5 linked regions of the Ovis aries genome follow. The protein of the gene in region 3 purifies or fractionates together with the protein of the main gene of each other region. This does not show direct contact. Links are inferred from orthologs where the notes say so. Each region holds a gene or a part of one and is shown on either strand. Other genes may lie near its edges. The genes, in order: RNGTT, RPRD1B, POLR2D, MED19 and POLR2M.

Region 1 (3,511 bases), on a different chromosome or scaffold from region 3:
ACGACAGAGGATAAGATGGTTGGATGGCATCACTGACTCAATGGACATGGGTTTGGGTGGACTCCGGGAGTTGGTGATGGACAGGGAGGCCTGGAATGCTGCAGTTCATAGGGTTGCAAAGAATTGGACACAACTGAGTGACTGAACTGAACTGAACTGAACTGAACACAGCTCCAGTTAGCAGATTTCCATGAAGGGCGTGACCTGCACTAAATGTTAACATTATCCTTATCCTACCGACTGGGCAGGGCATAGAAGTGTATGGCTCTTATAGGCACCCCTATTCCTGTAGCCAAAACAGACAGAAAAGGCAAGCAGTGAACTGTAGGAAGGCTGTGGCACCAGAAGTCAACCAATGGGACCATGCCAAGCAGGCATTATGCAAAATGTGAAAGTGGAATGGTAAGTTTGTATCTGTTGAGAAAAAAAGACAGGCATTCAACAGGGCTAAGATTATTGTTAATATTATATCCAGGGGCTAATACCGAATTGAGCAGACTTGAGCAGAAGCAGTTCAAATACAACACAAAATTACATCATCCAACATGTGAGATTATACCAGAAAAAAATTTTAAAACATGTAATTGCTCATGTTGCTTTATTTCCTGTATTCTTCTATCCTAACCACACCTCTTCTGAAACATAATAATTCCATGGTGCATCTTTACTGTCAAACACTATGCAGCAATTACAAATCTCTTTGCATGACATGGAAATATTTCCACGTGAGCATTTCCAAGTACTGTTAAGTGAAATAATTCCAGAATATTTAGTATGATGCATTTTCAGTCAAAACAACAAAAAAGCAATAACAAAAGAAAACTCTCCATGTGTATGTATATATATCCATATATATAAATTAGTTTTTAAAATAAGACTACACACTAAACACTGTTGACCTTCAGAAGGCCTAACAGGTGATTTTCACTTTATATAATTCTATTCTTTTCACAGCTTTTTAAAAAACATAAACCAACAACCATGAATCAAATACTATTATGAGACACAAGGAATAACTTAAGTTTCCATCACTAAAATCTTACCAAGATAAAGCAGATAAACAAGGACCTACTGTACAGCAGAAAGAACTATATTCAACATCATACAATGACCTATAATGAAAAACAATATATATACATATATATGTAACTGAATTAATTTGCTGTACACCCGAAACTAACACAGCATTGTAAATCGACTATACTTAAATTTTAAAAAAAAGAATCTTGTGAATGTGCAGACTTGAGGTTTTACATGTCTGTCCAAAACAGTGCTATATTCAAGTAATTTCTGGAAAAGTCAAGAAAAGAGGGCCTCAAAATGTCATTCATATTCCTTTCACAAGTTAAATTTTGATACACTGTAAGTACTAATTAGAAAACTTTACCTTTCTTGAAGCATAGATGTCAAAAAATGGCTTATGTCTGACACTGAATGGTTCCTGTGTTTTGTCAATGAGCCCTGTCTTCATTTTTTCATGTCGAGGATTTATTATTTCTCTTTCTATACACTGCAGACGAATATTAAAATCACAATCTCCAACCGGCTGTGCCTGAATTAAACCAGACAATTATTTAAATTTCAACACTAAAAACTATTATATCAGAATAGTTATTTAGGCGGTCACACTACAGCAGTCTATATAAACAGCATCCTTTGGAGCTGCCCAATGCACAGCCTGCACCACCGTACGTGCCAGTCCTGACAGACTAATGATAGAAGCATACCTAAACGTGCAAATACACATATACAAAATTATTTAAATTATAAATATATAAAAGAAAATAGGGGAACAATATAAATCTCCTCAAATACAAATTTTAGATCCAAAGCTTTCACATCTTAATTAAAGTATTAATATACTCACTAAACACTTTATTATTTATATGAATTAGTAAGACCTGTGTAAAAACTAAAATCCAAGTAGGTAGGAAAGTATATGTAAACAACACACCAAAATAAGCAAAAAAATAAATAAATAAATCATCGTTTTGTTGTTTAAAATGCTAACACCTTAAAGCCATCAAGAAGTAGAAGATATTATTAAAGAAATATATTATAAACTCTGAAAACTAATACAGAACAGTTTATAAAATATATTCAAAAAATAAAGTAATCCACTCCTCTATATGTATATACACAGTATATATATTATGGTATACATATTTAAAGTGAAAGTAAAGTCGCTCTTTTCCACGTCACCTATGTCATTAACAAGGTTGAGAAATCTAAAATGTCAGGTTCATTTATTAGATGAGTTCAGACCCCTATAAAATTACAGTGAAACAAGCAAGGCTTCTTCTTAAGAAATAAAATAAGAAGTCTAAAAATTACAAATAGAAAGTAAGTTCACCTTCAAATCTGTGCTACCCATGATAAAGGAAGTTCCTGATAGATGTGTTGAATTATGGAGAACAGACTACAGGAAGCACTCAAACTATTGACTTCTCAATAGTCTTCTCCGTTTTGAGTTCTTTCTTAGGTCAAAACACTACCCACACTGCCAGTGGAGTTATCTTTCAAAACAATTAAAGTATGATCGTATCATTAACATAACTAAAACCCTTCAGTAGTATCCTATTTTACACAGAACTGAGCTAAAATGCCTTATTCAAGTAATCTGCACCCCCCCCCCACCACCATCCATTCTCATTTCCTGCTACATCGCACATCTCACCACACATCAAGTACACAAATGTCCATCTAACGCTCCTGACCTCTTAGGCTCACTCCTTCACAATTAATGGGTCACTTTCTCTGTCTACAACTCCACACTTCAAATGACTCAACCTGGAATATTCTCACCTCTTTGCTACCTCTCATATATCTCCCATATACTTCCCTATTTCTCCCTAATATCTTTGATATTATACTTATGATACTTTTATAATTATTTCTTTAATTTACATTCCCATTCATAAGTGCACTTCAAGTTTCTTTTAATTTTGCATTCAATCTAAACACATATCCTAACAATTGTGTATAATATATGCATATTAGCCTCTAATAAATTGCATATATACACAACTGTATATTATAAAACAGACAAAAATTGAATAATAGATTAAGAATAAATCTTTCTTCTTTTCAAATCCCAATGAATTGTTGAGGAAGTAGCCTTTTTTGGAGGTCAGTACACTAAATCATAAATTCCCTGGAGGCAAGAAATCATGTCCTAGTCTTCTGTATATTCCTGATACCTAGAATAATACTTGACATACGAAAAATTATCAATGAAATTACTGCTGGACAAAACAGCAAACTAAAGGATTAAAAAGTTTTACACTGTTATCTCAAAAAAATTTTCTCATAGTGACCTTGATTTGATAAATCAAAATAAACAAAGTGGTTAATCATCAGTGAAAGTGAAAGTCGCTCAGTTCTGTCTGCCTCTTTGTGACCCCATGGACTCTACAGTCCATGGAATTCTCTAGGTCACAATACTGGAGTGGGTAGCCATTCCCTTCTCCAGGGAATCTTCCCAACCCAGGGATGGAACCCAGGTCTCTTG
Region 2 (4,168 bases), on a different chromosome or scaffold from region 3:
TCAACTGTGGCAGAGACTGACTGAATAAACCAGTTTTTGACTCTCATCTTTTCCAAGTTCAGTGGAGCCCTACTGGGTTGTGGAAAGCAGTCCTTGGGGAGGTGTTGGAACAGAACTGCAATCAGTGTTTGAGTGAACCCATTTCCCTGGCAACCTCTCCCCTCCTCCCTGTCTCTTTCTGCTTTGTCACAGGCATGGGCGATATAAGACCTCTGTGCCATGGTGTACAGGTGCGGAAGACAAATGAGACACTCTGTATAGGATAAGGTGCTATACTTTTGTTGTTGTTGTTTAGTCGCTAAGTCGTGTCCCATTCTTTTGTGACCCCATGGACTGTAGCCCACCAGGCTCCTCTGTCCATAGGATTTCCCAGGCAAGAATACAGCAGTGGGTTGCCATTTGCTTCTCCAGGGCATCTTCCAGACCAAAGGATCCAACCCGAGTCTCTTGCCTTGGCAGGCAGATTCTTCACCACTGAGTTACCAGGGAACCATCCCTCCCCCAGAGTACGGAGTATTTCTGTTTCTGAAAACACAGTGTCAAATAGTGTTTCTTAAAGGTTAACGAACCCACTTACTTTCCTATCCACCCACAAAGTTAACATATGGTACTTAAATTAGAGCAACAGTCAAATGGACCCTCCTAGAGGGCAGCCTTTAATTCCCCGAAGAGCAGGAAGATCCCCTGGAGTAGGAAACGGCAAACCCACTCCATCCAGTATTCTTGCTTGGAAAATCCCACGGATAGAGGAGCCTGGCACGGCAGTCCATGGGGTTGCAAAGGGTCAAATACTAGTGAGCACGCACGCAGGCACGCACAACAACCAAGAGCACAAAGGTGTGTTTTACAGCGGTGCCGTCACAAACTGAACATCGGAACTGGCCACTAACGGTGGTTCTGGAGGTGGAGTGGGAACCCACCACGTGGGGAGGGGGGCGTCACCTCTGGAGAAAGATGAGCAAAAGCCAAGATGTGGAGACAGAAAAAGTGCACGTGCGTGGCTCGGCGGAACCAAAAAAAAAAAGCTTTTTGTGGTGGGAGGTCAGAAAGCAGGAGGAAGAGTGTGGCTGCGGCCTGCCAGGTGAGGGAGAAAGGCCCCGTTCCATTCCCAGGCTATGATCTCTCAACCTCATCGTCTCTCTGGGGTTCCCCTCTAAGGGCTCGCGGTTGCTGGGCTCCCTCCTGCTCGCGCCACTCTTCCCTTACCTCGTCATCCAGCCTTTCCCTCACTCTCCCGCCTCCTCCGCCGCGCCGGAAGTGACGCCTAATTCGCGCACCGCCCAGCGCCAGAAAGGTTCTGTGGGAGCGGGAGAAAGGGTTCCGATGAGACTCACTGCGCCGGCGTGCAGGCGCGAGCGGTCAAAGCGCCTTCCGGAGGCCGTCGAGTTGCGCTCTTTTCCCGGTCTGCCGTTCTCGGAGTACTCAAGAGCGAGATTCAAAGAGGCCTTCAACACTAGAGTGTTTTCTACACTCTGACTCACCCCACGTCGGTGCCCCACCACTTCTGCGCTTGCCCTTTGACCCTGCGCCCGCGGCGGGGTGAGAGGTCGGTGGCCATCTTGTGGCGGCTGTGCGGGTGGCTGTTACTGCGGAGACCCATCCCCTCCCCCGCCGGGCCCCCCGGCCGTCTGTCAGTCCGTAAAGAGTCCCGCAGCGGGTGGAGTGAGGCCCCGGCCTCGTGCCGTCACTCTTGCCGCCGCACTGGGCGGCCTAGGCCGCTCCCTGCCAGGCCTCGCCGCCGCCACCATGTCCTCCTTCTCCGAGTCGGCGCTGGAGAAGAAGCTCTCAGAGCTGAGCAACTCTCAGCAGAGCGTGCAGACCCTCTCCCTGTGGCTCATCCACCACCGCAAGCACGCGGGACCCATCGTCTCGGTGTGGCATCGCGAGCTCCGCAAAGGTAAACATCCTCTCCGTCCCCCTCCGGTCCTCCCCCGGGTAGCCCTCGTCCGCACCCACTCCCGCGGCTCCTGTAGCTTCTTTGCTGAGCCTTGGCTTTCCAGGCCCGGACCTGTGATCGATTGCGCTTGCTGAGGTTGGAGACAGTGTTATCCTCATTTCTCGGAGAAGGAAACCGAGGCCTCGGAAGGTTTAAGGTGCTTAAGTCCCACCGACCCGGGCTCAGGATTCTCAGTTCATCCAGTCGTTTTCCCCCTCTGGCTTCTTCTGACACTTGTGACTATTATTCTCTCGGCCCCGTTGAGCGCCAGGTGGAGGGTACAGAGCCTGTTGTGTGCCAGGCACTGACTAGGGATTTGAAGCAAGATTGCCCAGATCGAGCCCTGGCTCAGCCACTTTTACTAGCTGAGTGATATCTGGCAGTTTTCTTCTAAGCCTCTGTTTTCTCATCTGTCAAACGAAAATGAAGACAGTTGGCCCTTACAGAGGCTTTATTCTGTGCCAGTTAGTGTCCTAGGACCTTTCATACATCCTTGCACTTAATGCTCAGCACTGTCCTGGGGAATGGATATAGTCACTGCCATTACAGAGAAGTTAAGAGGCCACTCCACCTAGACCTAGCCTCTCAGGCTCCTCTTCTCATGCAGCTCTCCTTGGTTCTAGATCCTGCTCAGGATCTGGCCGCCATTGATTGAGCTCAGCCTGTCATGTGCCAGGTACTGGGTTGGGTGCTTGAAAGCCAACTGCCTGGAATCTAAGCCCGACTTTGTCATTTACTGAGCTCCGGCAGCTTAACTTCTCTGTATCTCAGTTTCCTGATCTGTAAAATGAAGATGATGATAAGTGATACTTACAGTGCGTTTGTTCTGTGCCAAGTGCAGTACTGATCTCTTTACACACATGTCATTTTTTTTAAAATTCTCAGAGTTCTATGAAGTAGGAACTTGGCAGGTGAGAAAAAAGGAGGCTCAAAGGTTGTGTGGTGAAGAGTAATCAGCCTAATCCTCATGAATGTCTAGCATGGTGTCTGGCACAGTGTAGGCACTGGATAGATACGGTGAGGGGGATACTGGTGACTCCATGTGTGACATGGTGTTTGCCACAGTTGCTTTCGGGGGAGGAAAGAGGGGCACCTACATAGCTGTCGCAGGCACCGGTGAGTTTCAGAGCAGAAAGCCAAGGAAATGAAGTGTAGCGCTGTTTTGGACAGCCTGTGTGTGTAGACCTTTTATAGCATAGGCGGTAACTTTACCTATGTCCTCTGCTCTCTGTGAGCTCAGGATGTCACCCTGTTATGCAGATGAGAGAACCTGTGAGCCTGGGATAACATCAGATTGGCAGACACCCAAATCCAGGATTCTTTTGGGAGACCCAATTCTAGTCCTCTGGCAGAGACAACCCCCCCGGCCAAATATCATGTGCTGTACCGAGATGTGAGGGGGCGGTCCACCTCAGCCTTCTAGATAGTTGGAGAATAGAGCCTGGGTCTCCCAGAACCTCATTCATGTACCCCACTGTGCCACTCAGATCATCTGAGACGTGGGGAGAAAATTTGAATTGCCTCTATAGGATCCTTTCTAGTAGGATCTCAGAAGCATGTCAAAATCCATCTCAAATGTCACTTCTTTTGTGATGCCATCTTGATTCCCCACCTCACCATATTTGAGTTACTGAGAGTAACAATTTAGAGTTCTTTTGTTTATGAAGCTAAATGGCAATCCACTCCAGGACTGTTGCATGGAAAATCCCATGGACAGAGGAGCCTGGTAGGCTACAGTCCATGGGGTTGCAAAGAGTCAGACACAACTAAGTGACTTCCCTTTAAACCCTAATCTCGTATAATGGAACCTTATGTTGTAAGTAGGTCAGCATTATTATCCCTGTTTTATAGATGAAAAGATAAAGATATGAAGAGATTAAATGCTTTGTCAAGAGTTATCCAGTTGGGACATGAGCTTTCTGTGATGAAAGAAATGTTTTACATTTGCTGTCCAATAAGGTAGCCTCTTGCCTTGAGCACTCAAAATGTGTGACTAAGGAAGTTTCAAATAAATACAATGGAAAATTCAGTTCCTGAGTTTTGTTAGGTACAGTGCAAATATTCATAGCTGCATGTGGCTGGTGGCTACCATATTGGACATTATAGAACTGGAGGCTGGTCTTCCAAGCCTCATGATACAGTTTTCTAATACCCAAGCTTCCTTCATGAATTGAAAATGCCTCCACACTAAAGTGGAAAGGGATTTTGTGCCCTAACATTCAAATTGACTAG
Region 3 (4,025 bases):
TCCAGTGGTTAATACTCCACACTTTACACTTCCACTGTAGAGAGCGTGGGTTCGATCCCAGCTTGGGGAACTAGATTTCACATGCAAAAGGGCAACTAAAGGGATCTGCCACAACTACTGAGCCCTGTACTCAACTGAGCCCTGTACTCTACTGAGCCCTGAACTCTACTGAGCCCTGTACTCTACTGAGCCCTGTACTCAACTGAGCCCTGAACTCAACTGAGCCCTGTACTCTACTGAGCCCTGAACTCTCCTGAGCCCTATACCCTGGGGCCTGCAAGTCACAATGAGAGAGAAGCCTGCACGCTGCAGTGAAGAGCTGATGTGCAGACACTAAGACCTGACACAGACAGATAAATAAATAGATAGATATTTAAAAAAAAAACAAAATGCAGCAAGATCTCTAGGACATATCAGGTGAACGATAAATAAGTCCACTCTATTTAAAACATAACAGGGCTGTGTGTTTGTGACGTGTGTGTATATGAATTCATGGAATAAGCTCTGGAGAGCTAGCAACAAACTTTTGACAGTAGTCACTCTGCAGGGAGGTAAGTGGGATTTAGGGTACAGAAAAAGTAGGCAAGGAGGATTTCGGTCTAACAAGCTACGTTAAAGTTTGCCAAAGACATAATTTTCCTCACATGAATCGCACGAACGACGCCCCTGAGGCAGCAGGGGTGGGGTGGGTGAGTGGGGATGGTGGTGCTGACAGCCTTCCACATGCAGGTGCCCAGCAGTCTGGGTTAGTAAGAACTTTCTTTCAGCACTCACCTACGGACACTGGCGATGGTCTCTCTGTTTTTGAAACGACTGAAACGGGCAGTGTAATTTAAAGTTTTCATGAAGACCTCGGAAAGTTCCTGCTCATCCTCTGCGCTCTCATTCTGCTGCTTTCGATGCTCAAGAAGCATATGAACTTCCGAATTCAGAAGCGTCTCAGCTGTTTCAAACTCTATTTGCGAGAAGCATAAATGTCAGCTGAAAATATTTCTTCCCAAGTCAGCTTCTAAATGTTCATTTGCCTTAGTGACTATCAGCAAACTTCTGACCCTGCAGAAATCCAGAGGCTTCACATCCTACAACTGTACAGTGTTCACACAAACAAAACGCCTTAAATAAAAAGAACCGAGACAAAACCCAAGTACCAAAAACTGGTTTATCATGAAATTCAGAAAACCACCTACCTCTCAGTTATCACACCTTAAAAAAGAAAACAAACATACATGTCCATTACGCCTACACCGTCTGTGACGCTGTCCTCGGAAATATTTCACCATGAGTCTATGACATACAATACTGAAAGCAATCTCTATACACATTAATAAATAGAATTATGGTACAACCATTAAGCGGGCTTCCCTGGTGGCTTAGTGGTAAAGAATCCACCTGCCAATGCAGGAGAGGCCTGATCCCTTGGTGGGGAAGATCCCCTGGAGAAGATGGCAACCCACTCCTGTATTCTTGCCTGGGAAATTCCATGGACAGAGGAGCCTGGTGGGCTACAGTCCAAAGGATTGCAAAACAGTTGACACAACAACTTCGCGACTGAACACCATCACCACCCATCAAGTACTATCTAGTCCTTTAAAAGAATAGAACAGTTCTACAAAATTTATGATTTCTATAGCATAATCCTATTTTTGCAAAGAATGAAGGGTATAAGTATATACTTAAAAATAAGCATGGTTTGGAAGGATAAACACTATTTATAGTTGTTTGGGTGAAAAGGTGTGGACTTTAAGGTTTTACTCTGCATATATTAGTGGCAATTTTTTTTTAAAAGACAGGTACTGTTAAAGTTTTCCCCACTTTGTTGTTACTGTTCACTGACTTCGTGTTTTTCAGTACCTGTAAGATATATGTTGAAGTCTTAAGCTACTTATTTTGGGTTTTTAAATTACACATTAAGTCCATCACACAGCACAGAATCCCTGATAGCAAACAGTGCTTTACTCGCTGCCATCTGACAAAGATTCTCTTCTCTCATAACCAAGCTCTGGCCAGGCTCCTGTGCGCCCTTTTCACGACTAGGACTCAAGGTTGTTCCACAAAGACTTGAAGAAAACACTAACACGATTTCTAACAGCTCAAGGCTGCATCCCTGGGATGACTCTAGCTCCTTTACAGTGGCTGCTTATGAAAACTGAAGGCTGTCAAAATAATTTGTTTGTTCCTGACAACATCTGAAGATAGGGCCCTTGTCTCACAGCCCAGGGCGAAGGGTGTTGGGAAGGAAGGAGCCTAACCCCATAACCACCAGTTAACAAATCCAAATGAGCTTCAAACGGACCAACCCCCGCTTCTCGTAATTTTTCACTTCCCTGACTCTTTGTGAGGCCCTGCTCACCCCTCTCCCTATTCCTTCATTCTCCCTTTAAAACGCCCAGTCACCTTTGCACAAATCCAAGTCTAGATGATTCCACGCTTCACGCTTTTCCCTACTGCGATAGTATATTAATGATTAAAACGTGCCATTACCCCTTTAGTGTTGGCTTTATCTTTGACACAACCGTCCAGCACTTCCTAGTTTATGGACTAAAACAACTTAAACACGAACAAGAGGCCCCCCGGGGCGATGTGGAGTTGGGGGCCGACGGCTCCAGCGCTGCCGGTGTGGACTCCAGCTGGCCAGTTCCCGCGGAACCGTGCCCAGACCGCCCGCACCCTCCTCCTCCGCGCCCTTCGCCACGCCTGCCCAGGCCGCACCTTTGGGAAAGATGAGTTGTGATGCGTCCTCCTCTACATCTCCAGAGCGCGGATCGTTCCCGCCCGCCGCCATCCTCTCGCCGAGAACCAGTACCCACGCTGTCGGAAGCGGAAGCTCCTTCCGGTCGCCGCCACGGAAGGGGCGTGTTCTTGCAGACGGGGCGGGGCCCCACTGAAGGTGGGCGGGCCGCGATGGGTAGGCGAGACAACCGCGGGGTGGGCGGGGCCAAGGGACCTAGCGGCCTCGGGCGCAAGCGGGGAGGGGCCAGAGCGGTGGGGTCTTGCAGGTCTCTGGAAGTGCCGCGACGGGGTGGCGCATCCTGCGGCCGCGGCAGGAGAAAACCGTCACTTTCTTCAACAGTAGGTCCTTCGCTGCGAGTCGTGGGGACTGCTCAGTTGGCATTTCTGAGCCTCAGCTATCTCACCTGTGAAGTGTGGATGAGGATACCGCTTTCCAGGGCGCAGGGGAAGGATTAGATGGGAGGCAGGAACGCGCAGACCGACCCAAGGATCTCTAGTTGATGGGAAGCTGGGTAGGTGACTCTGAAAACATTCAGTGTAATTCCTCCAATGCCTCAAAGCATTTAAAATGTTTGATTTGTAGTGGATTTTTTCCAATACTTCTGAACATGGAATAGTGGATAGTGATATTGAGAAGCCTGTTGGAACATTTGGGTGATACTTCGAGTAAGCAAGCAAATGAAAAATGATTCTGTTTCCAACTTGAGAGAAAACAGATGGTTGTACAATGCAGAAAATAACCATAGTGCACTGCTTGGCTCAGGAATGAACCGTCTATAAGTATATAAACTGTTCACAAAAAATGACGATATTACCAGACAAGGGTATGCATCTGTATTCCTTTAATTTATAATTCCTTTAAATTATAATTTATAAAAGTTAATTTGCCTTGTGTATGTGTTTCCAAAAGAAATGTATCAGGTGAATTAATGGTAGGTCGTATAGTGCTGGCAGAGCTTATTACTGCTTCAAAGTGCTTTCCTACACAGTTCATTAGAGCTGCAGGCCAATGCCCAGAGGAGTCTGGGAACATGCCCCAGCTGGGTATGGGATAGTCTTTGAGCTCAGTGTAGGCCCCCTTCTCCCATCTATCCATCCAACAGGCTTTTGCAGAGCACCTACCTACTACTTAACTGGACCTTAACATTTGCTGGCCCCAGTACTAGCCACATAACTAACACACAGCAGGAAGAGAAGGCAACAGAAGAGAGAACAGCAAATAATCCACACTGATGTTTCACAGGCTGTTTTGCCCACATTTTCATTCAGGAAACCATTATAAACACGTAAGTGCA
Region 4 (4,202 bases), on a different chromosome or scaffold from region 3:
GAAGGTATAAACATCCTACTGAAACATCACTAGCTGGAATCAAGATTGCTGGGATAAAGAGCAACAACCTCAGATAGATGACACCACTCTAATAGCAGAAAGTGAAGAGGAACTTTGGAGCCTCTTGATGAGGGTGAAAGAGAGTGGAAAAGTTGGCTTAAAACTCAACATTCAGAAAACTAAGATCATGGCATCAGGTCCCATCACTTCATGGCAAATAAAAGGCGAAAAAGTGGTGGCAGTGACAGACTCTATTTTCTTGGGCTCCAAAATCACTGCAGACAGTGACTGCAGCCATGGGATTAAAAGATGCTTACTTCTTGAATGGAAAGCTATGATAAACCTAGACAGCATTTTAAAAAAGTAGAGACATCATTTTGCCGATAAAGGTCCATACAGTCAAAGCTATGGACGTGGGATGAACTGAAAGATGTCCCTGAGACTAACATGTATGTCTAAAATGACTCCCGGTTTCCACCTCCTCAAACTTGTTCTTGCCTGACCTCAGCACTACCATCAATCCTGTTATTCAAGCCAAAAATTCGAAATCACCCTCAATTCCTCTCTCCTCCACTTCTATATTCAATCCTTCATTCCTGTCAGTTCTACCTCTAACATTTATCCTGCATCCATTTACTTCTTTCCTCCATTGCTATCGCCTAGTCTAAACCACCTCTTTCCTGGACCACTAAGCAGTAACATTATTGAAAGGGGGATTTTTGTAGAAACTAACGCAATAATTAATTCAGCTATTTCACTACCACTTTGCATTATTACATTCAATAGTTACAGCTGACACACCTGTAAAGTCTTCTCCAGCACCATGAGTTTCATTTTCACTTTCCGTATCAGAAAACAATCACTAAGGTTTTCTGTCTCTTTGTTGGTCTAATAGTCACATCATCTGAATCAGAACTACATTCGGAACAACTATCATCTGCTGCTGCTGCTGCTAAGTCGCTTCAGTCGTGTCCGACTCTGTGCGACCCCATACACGGCAGCCCACCAGGCTCCCCCGTCCCTGGGATTCTCCAGGCAAGAACACTGGAGTGGGTTGCCATTTCCTTCTCCGATGCATGAAAGTGAAAGTGAAGTCACGCGGTAGTGTCCGACTCTTAGCGACCCCGTGGGCTGCAGCACTAGGTGCTGCTCGGACAATAAGAGAAAGTATCTGCATAAAATTCACTGAAAAAATTTTCTTCATTCAAAACTGCATGGTGTGTCACTTTTTAAAATTTTATGAAAATAAACTTGTGTTTATAAGGTACACAAGGTTGGAATAAAAACCTAACAGAGCAAAATGTGAATGATAATGTCAATGATAAGCTGTATGATGAATCCTTGATCAATTTTAAGCTTTAACAACTTCCCACGGTGATGTTAATGGTTTCACTCTCTAAAAAAGGTATTGACATGTTTCTGGTCAATAATATGTTAAAATCTAAATGTCTAACACAGGCCTCTGCCTACACTCTCACTTTATCTATCACTCCTCTGTTCACTTCACTGGAGTCCAGCTGATCTTCTGTTCCTCAAACATTACAAGATTTTTCTCACATTGGGGCTGTTGATTTCATTTTTTTTGTATCCAGTTATTCCTTCTCCCACTCATAAATGGCTAGCTCTTTCTCTGCGCTTACATTTTAACTCTAAAGTAACCTACTCAGAAAGAGCTTCTCTGATCACTCTAGCTAAAGCAGTTCAGCTCCCTTAAATCTTATCACATTTTTTTTTCCTACAGCCGTAACTGCTTTGTGATTTCACCCTGTTACCTTTTGCCTCCTCCATGGGCACGTAAATTCCCAAACAGGCAAGGATCTTGTCAGCCTTATTCACAGTTGTATCTTCAGTGTACAATAACCCCTGGTACATAAAATAGGTGCTCAACGAAATAAGTTTTTGAATGAAAGAGTCTGGTCCAATTCTATTCACTTGTTCCAACAGATGAGGAAAGGCCCAGGCCCAGAGAAAAAAGAAAGGCAACAAACCAACAGGAAGTCGGAAGCAGATTTGGAACTAGGTCCGCAAGGATGTTAAATAAGGACTCTCAAATTCCAAACTTGAACCCTGGGTGCTTTTTCAGTTAGCCACTCAGTCGTGTCCGACTCTGCGACCCCATCGACTGTAGCCCTCCAGGCTCTTCCGTCCACGGAATTTTCCAAGCAGGGATACTGCAGTGGGTAGCCTTTCCCTTCTCCAGGGTTCTTCCCACCTGAGGGCTCAAACCCAGGTCTGCCGCATTGCAGGCGGATTCTTCACCGTCTGAACCTCCAGGGAGTAACTTTTAGGGAATCATAAAACCACCATCAGCTTCAGAGACAGGGCGGAGCGTGAAAGGCGGCCACAGAGACCCATTCTTCTCATTCCCAGTCCATCCTGAGGATTCCTGTCGTGCCTTTGGCCTTGAATTCGCAGTCGTTTCCGACACGGAGCTCCGAAATCCCCGCACGCGCCGCCCGGGCTTCCCCTCACCTCCCTCGGCATCTAGGAGCCACGCCCAGCCCCACCTCGCGGCGATCTGATTGGCCGGCTTCGGCCGGGCCTCGGACTCACCTGGCAGCTCCCTCATTAGGTAGAAGGGGCCGCAGCCTGCCGCCGACTTGTCGCTCCCGGGAGGGGCCGAAGCGGCGGTCGGGGGCGGGGCCGGGCCGGGCCCCCCGCCCGGAGGCGGTGGCGGCGGGGGGGGCGGCTTTCCGGGTCCGAAGCCGAGTGCCGCTGGGGGAGGTGGCGGGTCAGCCTGGGCCCCGAACAGCGCCGTGAAATTCTCCATCGTCCCCTCTGCCCCGGCGCCGTCCCGGTGTCTGGCGTTAATGATTCTCATTGGTTAATCTTTTCACGGGGTACCGCCCTTTTCCTCCAGGAGTCGTTTACCATTGGACTGCCTCTGGCCCTGCCTACCTTCTTCCGGCAACGACTTCCGTCGCCTTCTGAGAACGTTCAGGAAATACTCCTTAACATTATTAAATTTTCCGAGGCCTCCGCTCGCAGCAATCGCTTAACCAATGAAATGACTTAGGTAGTAAAAGCGACAGCTAGGTTAGCCAATAGCATATCAAATCCCTCTCTCACCTCCCTTACCTGCCGTAGAGGGCCAATCAGAGATCTAGCTCCGGGTCTAGAGGCGGGCCATCTGACACTTGGCCCAATGGAAACCTTCAATGGTGAGAGAGGCGGGACCAGACCTACGGAAGCCGAAGAGAGCGGCCGGTGCCTCAGGGGGCCGAGAAGATGGCGGTCCTAGCGCCTTTGATTGCTCTCGTGTATTCAGTCCCGCGACTTTCACGATGGCTGGCTCGACCTTACTACTTTTTGTCAGCCCTGCTCTCTGCTGCCTTCCTACTCGTCAGGAAGCTGCCCCCTGTCTGCGAAAGTCTCCCCACGCAACGCGAAGACGGCAACCCGTGTGACTTTGACTGGGTGAGCGACCCTCCTCGGGACCCCACGACCTTGACTGTCCCCGCCCTGGTGGTCGCAGCCGGGAGCCCCGAGGGACCGTTTTGAGAACGCCTCAGGTTCCGGGCCTCTTAGCGGACTTGACAGACTGCTAAGAGTGTAGGGCGTGGATTGTTACCGAGCCTAACCCTCCTCTTGTTTAGGGTGAGAAAGCAGCCGGTTAGCTCGCCCAGCAGTCTCAGCCTTCTGCCTTTTGAGGCCAAGCTCCTTCCCACCTCCCAATCCATGCTCGACCAGAGTCTTCCCCAGACTGGGCCCTCGCACTCTCTTCCAGTGTTGCTCGTTAATAAAGAACCAGTGAGTTGTACAAGGCGAGTAGTATTTGTAGTATTCTCGTTTTATTGATGAAGAAACGGATCTTGGCGTAGTTAGGAGACTCGTCCAAGGTCACACAACTAGTGAGCGACGAGGATTTGCAGCCACTCTTTAGCCACGGTAACAGCACACAGCCATTTCTTAAAATCAAGTTAACAGTCTCTCAGGGCGGACTGTGTGCTGGGCTGTGTGCCGCATACTGGGGATGTAAAAATAAATAAAATTGTTAGGCCTATGGAAATGGAATTGTAAAAAAAAAAAAAAAGAAAAAAACGCTGTAAAGAAATCTGTCTCAAGCCTCTTGGAGTTCTCCCTGAACTGGAATGGAGGGACCACTCAGAAAAATAACTTGAGGGGCTTCCCTGGTGGTCCAGGGGTTAAGACTGCACTGCCTTTGCAGGGGGCCTGGGTTCCATCCCTGGTCAGGGAACTAA
Region 5 (4,206 bases), on a different chromosome or scaffold from region 3:
TGTCCCATCTGCTACTGAAAACCTTTTCAATTACTTGGCTAAAAAAAGAAAGCATTTTCCAGCCAGAATCCTCCACTCCAGCCATGTTCGTTTTACTGCTTCTACAATACGCTCATTCCCAAGTACAAGCAGTTCTCATACCAAGTCCACTGAACTTAATGCAGTCTCCCAGTTTTGGGAGTTTAACAAATATCATGCTCCTGTAACAAGCCTGTTTCTGATGGTACTTACACATTGGTTTTAAATTTATGTGGCGGGGGCATGGGATTTTTGGCTCGCGTTTCCAGCACTTCCATGTAATGAGGCTTCTTCTGGGGCCTACTCCAGAGGCCGGCCAAGTTCTCAGGACTCTGGTTTCCTTCTGAGTGGTGTTCAGTGGGATCCGCAATTGTGATCCTTTGCAATCTATCAATGAACAGGTTGTCTGAGCTGCCAGGATGATCCTCCACTTGACCTAAGGCACAATGCTGAGGGAGACCCTCACTAGCTTCAGATGAGGAAGGTGCTGGGGCTCTGCTGCTAGAAGGTGGGTGCTTGCTCACTGTGTGTTCAGCCTCAGTTGCCTCAGCATCACCTCCGCGAGTCAGATGTTCCAGTCCCTGTTGTCGTGAGGTTGTCTGAGATGATGTGATGTTAGCTACAGACGAACAGCCAGGAACAGGTGATGAAGTATCAAGTATCTGGTCAGAATTCTGGGCCTTATCTCTGCCCCCATCAACAACTGCAATCGCTTTTTGCCTCTCCTTACAGTCTAAGCTAACAGGATAAAAGAGTTCACTTCTTCCTCTAACTTCTTCACGTTCTGCAATGGCAGCTTTCAGTTTGGTGACAGCGTCTGAGATCTTTTTACCTTTGTCGGGCAATTTGCAAATGAATTTTCTACAAAAGGAAAAGAATAGGTATACGTTACATAGAGCCATGTTTTTAAACTTGAGATATACAAAGTAGTATTCTCAAAGGGAGAAAAATCGACCGTTAAGTCAAAAAACTGATTTCCAGCTGCCGGAAATAAGAGAATCATTACCCAAATACCCCTCAAAACAAGGGACTACAGGATGATTAGGGACTATGTCTTGTTTGTCTCATCTATTAACAATTAGAATTTCTGCAGAAGTATTTTAAGCATGATATTAATATAAGACATGCCCCAAATCAGTTTTTAAAGTGTGATTTCCAAGACCTTCCTGGTGAGGGGAGGTGGATGGATCTGCAAGGTCAGAACTATTTATAATAACTAAGGTACTATTTGTCATTTTCACTCTCTTTTCTTACCATGAGTACAGGGGAGTTTTCCAGAGGCAACATGATATGGATGATAGCATTGTTCTGATGGCTAATAGAATGCGTTTTTGTGTTCTTGTGTTTTAAAGATTCTCACTTGTAACTCCTAAGACAATGATAACTATCAGTCGATATAACACACATACAGCAAGAGCTCTTCAAAATGTTCAGTAAGTCTTCAGAGTTAAAGCGGTCCTGAGGCTAAAAAGTTAACTCACTCATTCTCACAGTCAAAATAGTTGTCTCTACCAGGAAATCCCCAAGTGATCATTTGCCACTTTGGCTAAGTGGCAAAAGTTCTTTTTCTGATTTCCTTTTCTTTAGCCATACAATAAATGTGGAGGGAAGGTTACAGCTCACACCCTCTATTCTTTATGACACTACATTCATTCTCCTAATTCTATTAACATTCCTCCCAGTTGAGAGGTCTGTATTTTCCCAACGTTCTCTTCTCTCTCCAGCCTCATGACCACTTCTCCAGCTTTCAATCAAATGTAATTAACTTTTCCATTAACTAAGCTCCAGTAAGTAAAATCAGTGTCAGACTATTACCCTCCTCCAGTTTTCCTACTTTTATTAATGGTGCTCCATACAGGTTGGAAACTTCAGCCATCTCTGTCAACCATATACTCAAATGATCCTAAGCCTGATCTAGTCTCCCCAATCCCACAGCTACCCTTCTAGTTCACTTTTTTAGAATCCCCTTATTGGAGAACTTCTCTGAAAATACCTCCTAGTCTCTTCTGCCTCTTATTCCTTCAAATTTTCCTGCACCAAACTGCTAAAATAAGCTTCCTAAAAAAATCATTATTTTTACACCTATTCTCTGCTAAAATCCATTAAGTCTAACAGCTAAGTGTGAACCAAACTTACTTTGCCTAAGAAGCCACTCTTTTACCCTACTCTTCCCACTTCCTACAGTTCCTGTAAAAAAATGGGATCTAGAGATGAAACTTACTAGGTGTTTGGGGCACTATTTGGCGGAAAGGGAGCGAAAGGACTGGGGATACAGACCCTCCCCTTGGAGGGCCGACACAGGCACTGAGTAAGTAAAATCAAAGAGGAGCTGAAACGCTGGAGAGCCAGAAACACGGGCGCCCGGCGCCCGGGCTGTACGCGGTAGCTCTGTGACTGTAGGCCGGCCACTAGCCCGTGGGCCTGGAACGGACCTAAGACAAGGTGACCTTCCAGGAAAGAGATCGGGATGGGGGCGGGGAGGGGCCCGTCCCAGGGTTCCCAACGCGAGGAACCCTGCGGTGACTTCGCGGGACCCAAGCTTACACGTTGCGCAAAAGTCTCTCCTGGCGCTTCAACATTTCCCGTAGCTCCGCCAAACTCCGCTGCCCCAAGTCCTCGGGAGTTTGGGGCTCGAAGCCGCGGGGAAGCGAGGACATTCTGCGGGGGCTGAGGCTGGCGAGGCGGTGGGCACTCGGCGTCCTCGGCAGCCCCCGTGGCTGGCGCCAGATCCGCGGCCGGCGGGGACTCCGGCGAACGAGCGGGAGTCGCCATTTTCCCGGAAGAACAAGTCTTCTTCTAGCCGAATCGAGCTTTATTGAAACGCCGGAAATAAACACGGACAGAGTTGAGGGAGTGGCGGCCGGGGCGGGAATCGCGGGGTGACGTCACGCGCCGGCGGGGCGCGCTTTCTAGTTGCTTATTCTTCCTGTGCCTTGGGTCTTGGCTTAAGTATTCAGAAAAAGTGAGTTCCTGGGGCCCTGTCCTGAAGGAGTCTGCTGAGTGAGGGAGGAGAGCAGACATTAATCAATTAACAAATGGAAGAATTGTAAGACGGCTATGGGCACCAAGGAAGGAATAACGAAGAAGTGAAAGACACGTGGAAACAGGAGTGATGAATTGGTTAACCATTAGTGAAGCTGGAGTATGTACCGGGCACGTGAAGCCCTGGCCTATGGCGTGGCCTTGCTAGTTCTGGGTTTAGTGAAGACCTCAAACATTAATGTTGGAGGATCATTCAGAACCATCAGCGTTTCTTAAGGCGGCTTTGTGGCATTTGAAGCAAGACTTTTCCTCGTTTTCAGGACTGCCTCAGGTATTGCAAGATATTTGGTGTCTATTTGATGTCTGGGTTTCTGCTCTCTAGTTGGTTTGGCATTCCTGAATCCTCCTAAAAATACAAAACGCACCCCCGCCCCCCGCCGCCCCAACACACACACTCCTGAGTCCTTGTAACAGTACAAAATGCATCTCCCCAACACACACACACACACACACACACACACACACACGATTTCAAAGGCCCACAAGAGGTGATGATAGTAGGAGGTGCTGCACAACAAACGGAGAACCTCTTTTTCACAATTACCCGTTTTGCCCTTGGAAAAACAAAGGCACAAAAACTGAAGTTTTCCCAGGGCACAAAACTAGTAAGTGAGAACATCATTGCTGTAGACACAAATGCCCAGGTGGTCTTTCTGCCACCCCAATTCAAAAATCTTGCAAAGAGCAAGAAAGTTTTTTAGGCTGTTGAGGAAAGCAGTGTAACTGCTAACTCTTCAGTGTAACACCTAACTCTTCTCTATAGTTCAGGTAAGAAAGCTGGATCCCAAAGAAAAAAGTAGGAAGCATGCTATAGTCTTAACAGACATCAGTTGTGAGGTTTGAAAGACCCTATAACCTCCAACCCCAGTCTCTCCCTTCTTTGATACGGAAAATTTACATTTGCTAGTCCTTTGTAAGGTGCTGTAACAAACAATTCCCTCCCAATCAGAGGGAAGCTCTAGATAAAATATGAGGCTATTTCAGGAAGTACAGCTGAAACTGTGTCTGTATCCTTACAATCTAGTCCATTCTGATCAGTTTAACATATCAAAAGTCTCAACATAAACTCTGCTTTGAAACAAGGATTTCAGTAACCTGCTCCATAGCTTTCTAAGTGAGAAATACTCAAGAAAGGCCCTTGTCAGG

What was found.
Region 1: the proteins of POLR2D (region 3) and RNGTT purify together in Homo sapiens (affinity purification with mass spectrometry; 3 studies listed by BioGRID and IntAct, with this or other methods). This does not show direct contact. The link is inferred for Ovis aries from reciprocal best matches to the Homo sapiens genes POLR2D and RNGTT.
Region 2: the proteins of POLR2D (region 3) and RPRD1B purify together in Homo sapiens (affinity purification with mass spectrometry; 3 studies listed by BioGRID and IntAct, counting the BioPlex papers as one, with this or other methods). This does not show direct contact. The link is inferred for Ovis aries from reciprocal best matches to the Homo sapiens genes POLR2D and RPRD1B.
Region 4: the proteins of POLR2D (region 3) and MED19 purify together in Homo sapiens (affinity purification with mass spectrometry; 4 studies listed by BioGRID and IntAct, with this or other methods). This does not show direct contact. The link is inferred for Ovis aries from reciprocal best matches to the Homo sapiens genes POLR2D and MED19.
Region 5: the proteins of POLR2D (region 3) and POLR2M purify together in Homo sapiens (affinity purification with mass spectrometry; 3 studies listed by BioGRID and IntAct, counting the BioPlex papers as one, with this or other methods). This does not show direct contact. The link is inferred for Ovis aries from reciprocal best matches to the Homo sapiens genes POLR2D and POLR2M.

The regions. Positions count from the first base shown.
Region 1 is NC_056061.1:48,568,775-48,572,285, reverse strand, and holds part of RNGTT (mRNA-capping enzyme), read right to left. Parts: intron 1,553-3,511; coding exon 1,388-1,552; intron 1-1,387.
Region 2 is NC_056066.1:66,897,877-66,902,044, forward strand, and holds the start of RPRD1B (regulation of nuclear pre-mRNA domain-containing protein 1B), read left to right. Parts: upstream 1-1,361; 5' UTR 1,362-1,746; coding exon 1,747-1,897; intron 1,898-4,168. UniProt on the Homo sapiens protein: Interacts with phosphorylated C-terminal heptapeptide repeat domain (CTD) of the largest RNA polymerase II subunit POLR2A, and participates in dephosphorylation of the CTD by RPAP2. Transcriptional regulator which enhances expression of CCND1.
Region 3 is NC_056055.1:117,615,752-117,619,776, reverse strand, and holds the start of POLR2D (DNA-directed RNA polymerase II subunit RPB4), read right to left. Parts: upstream 2,811-4,025; 5' UTR 2,783-2,810; coding exon 2,710-2,782; intron 956-2,709; coding exon 775-955; intron 1-774. UniProt on the Homo sapiens protein: Core component of RNA polymerase II (Pol II), a DNA-dependent RNA polymerase which synthesizes mRNA precursors and many functional non-coding RNAs using the four ribonucleoside triphosphates as substrates.
Region 4 is NC_056068.1:79,750,242-79,754,443, forward strand, and holds the start of MED19 (mediator of RNA polymerase II transcription subunit 19), read right to left. Parts: upstream 2,804-4,202; 5' UTR 2,771-2,803; coding exon 2,554-2,770; intron 2,496-2,553; exon of another isoform or gene 1,873-2,495; coding exon of another isoform or gene 1,773-1,872; intron 1-1,772. Other genes in the region: TMX2 (thioredoxin-related transmembrane protein 2), read left to right, coding at 3,229-3,417. UniProt on the Homo sapiens protein: Component of the Mediator complex, a coactivator involved in the regulated transcription of nearly all RNA polymerase II-dependent genes.
Region 5 is NC_056060.1:50,699,614-50,703,819, forward strand, and holds the start of POLR2M (protein GRINL1A), read right to left. Parts: upstream 2,810-4,206; 5' UTR 2,676-2,809; coding exon 2,563-2,675; intron 880-2,562; coding exon 232-879; intron 1-231.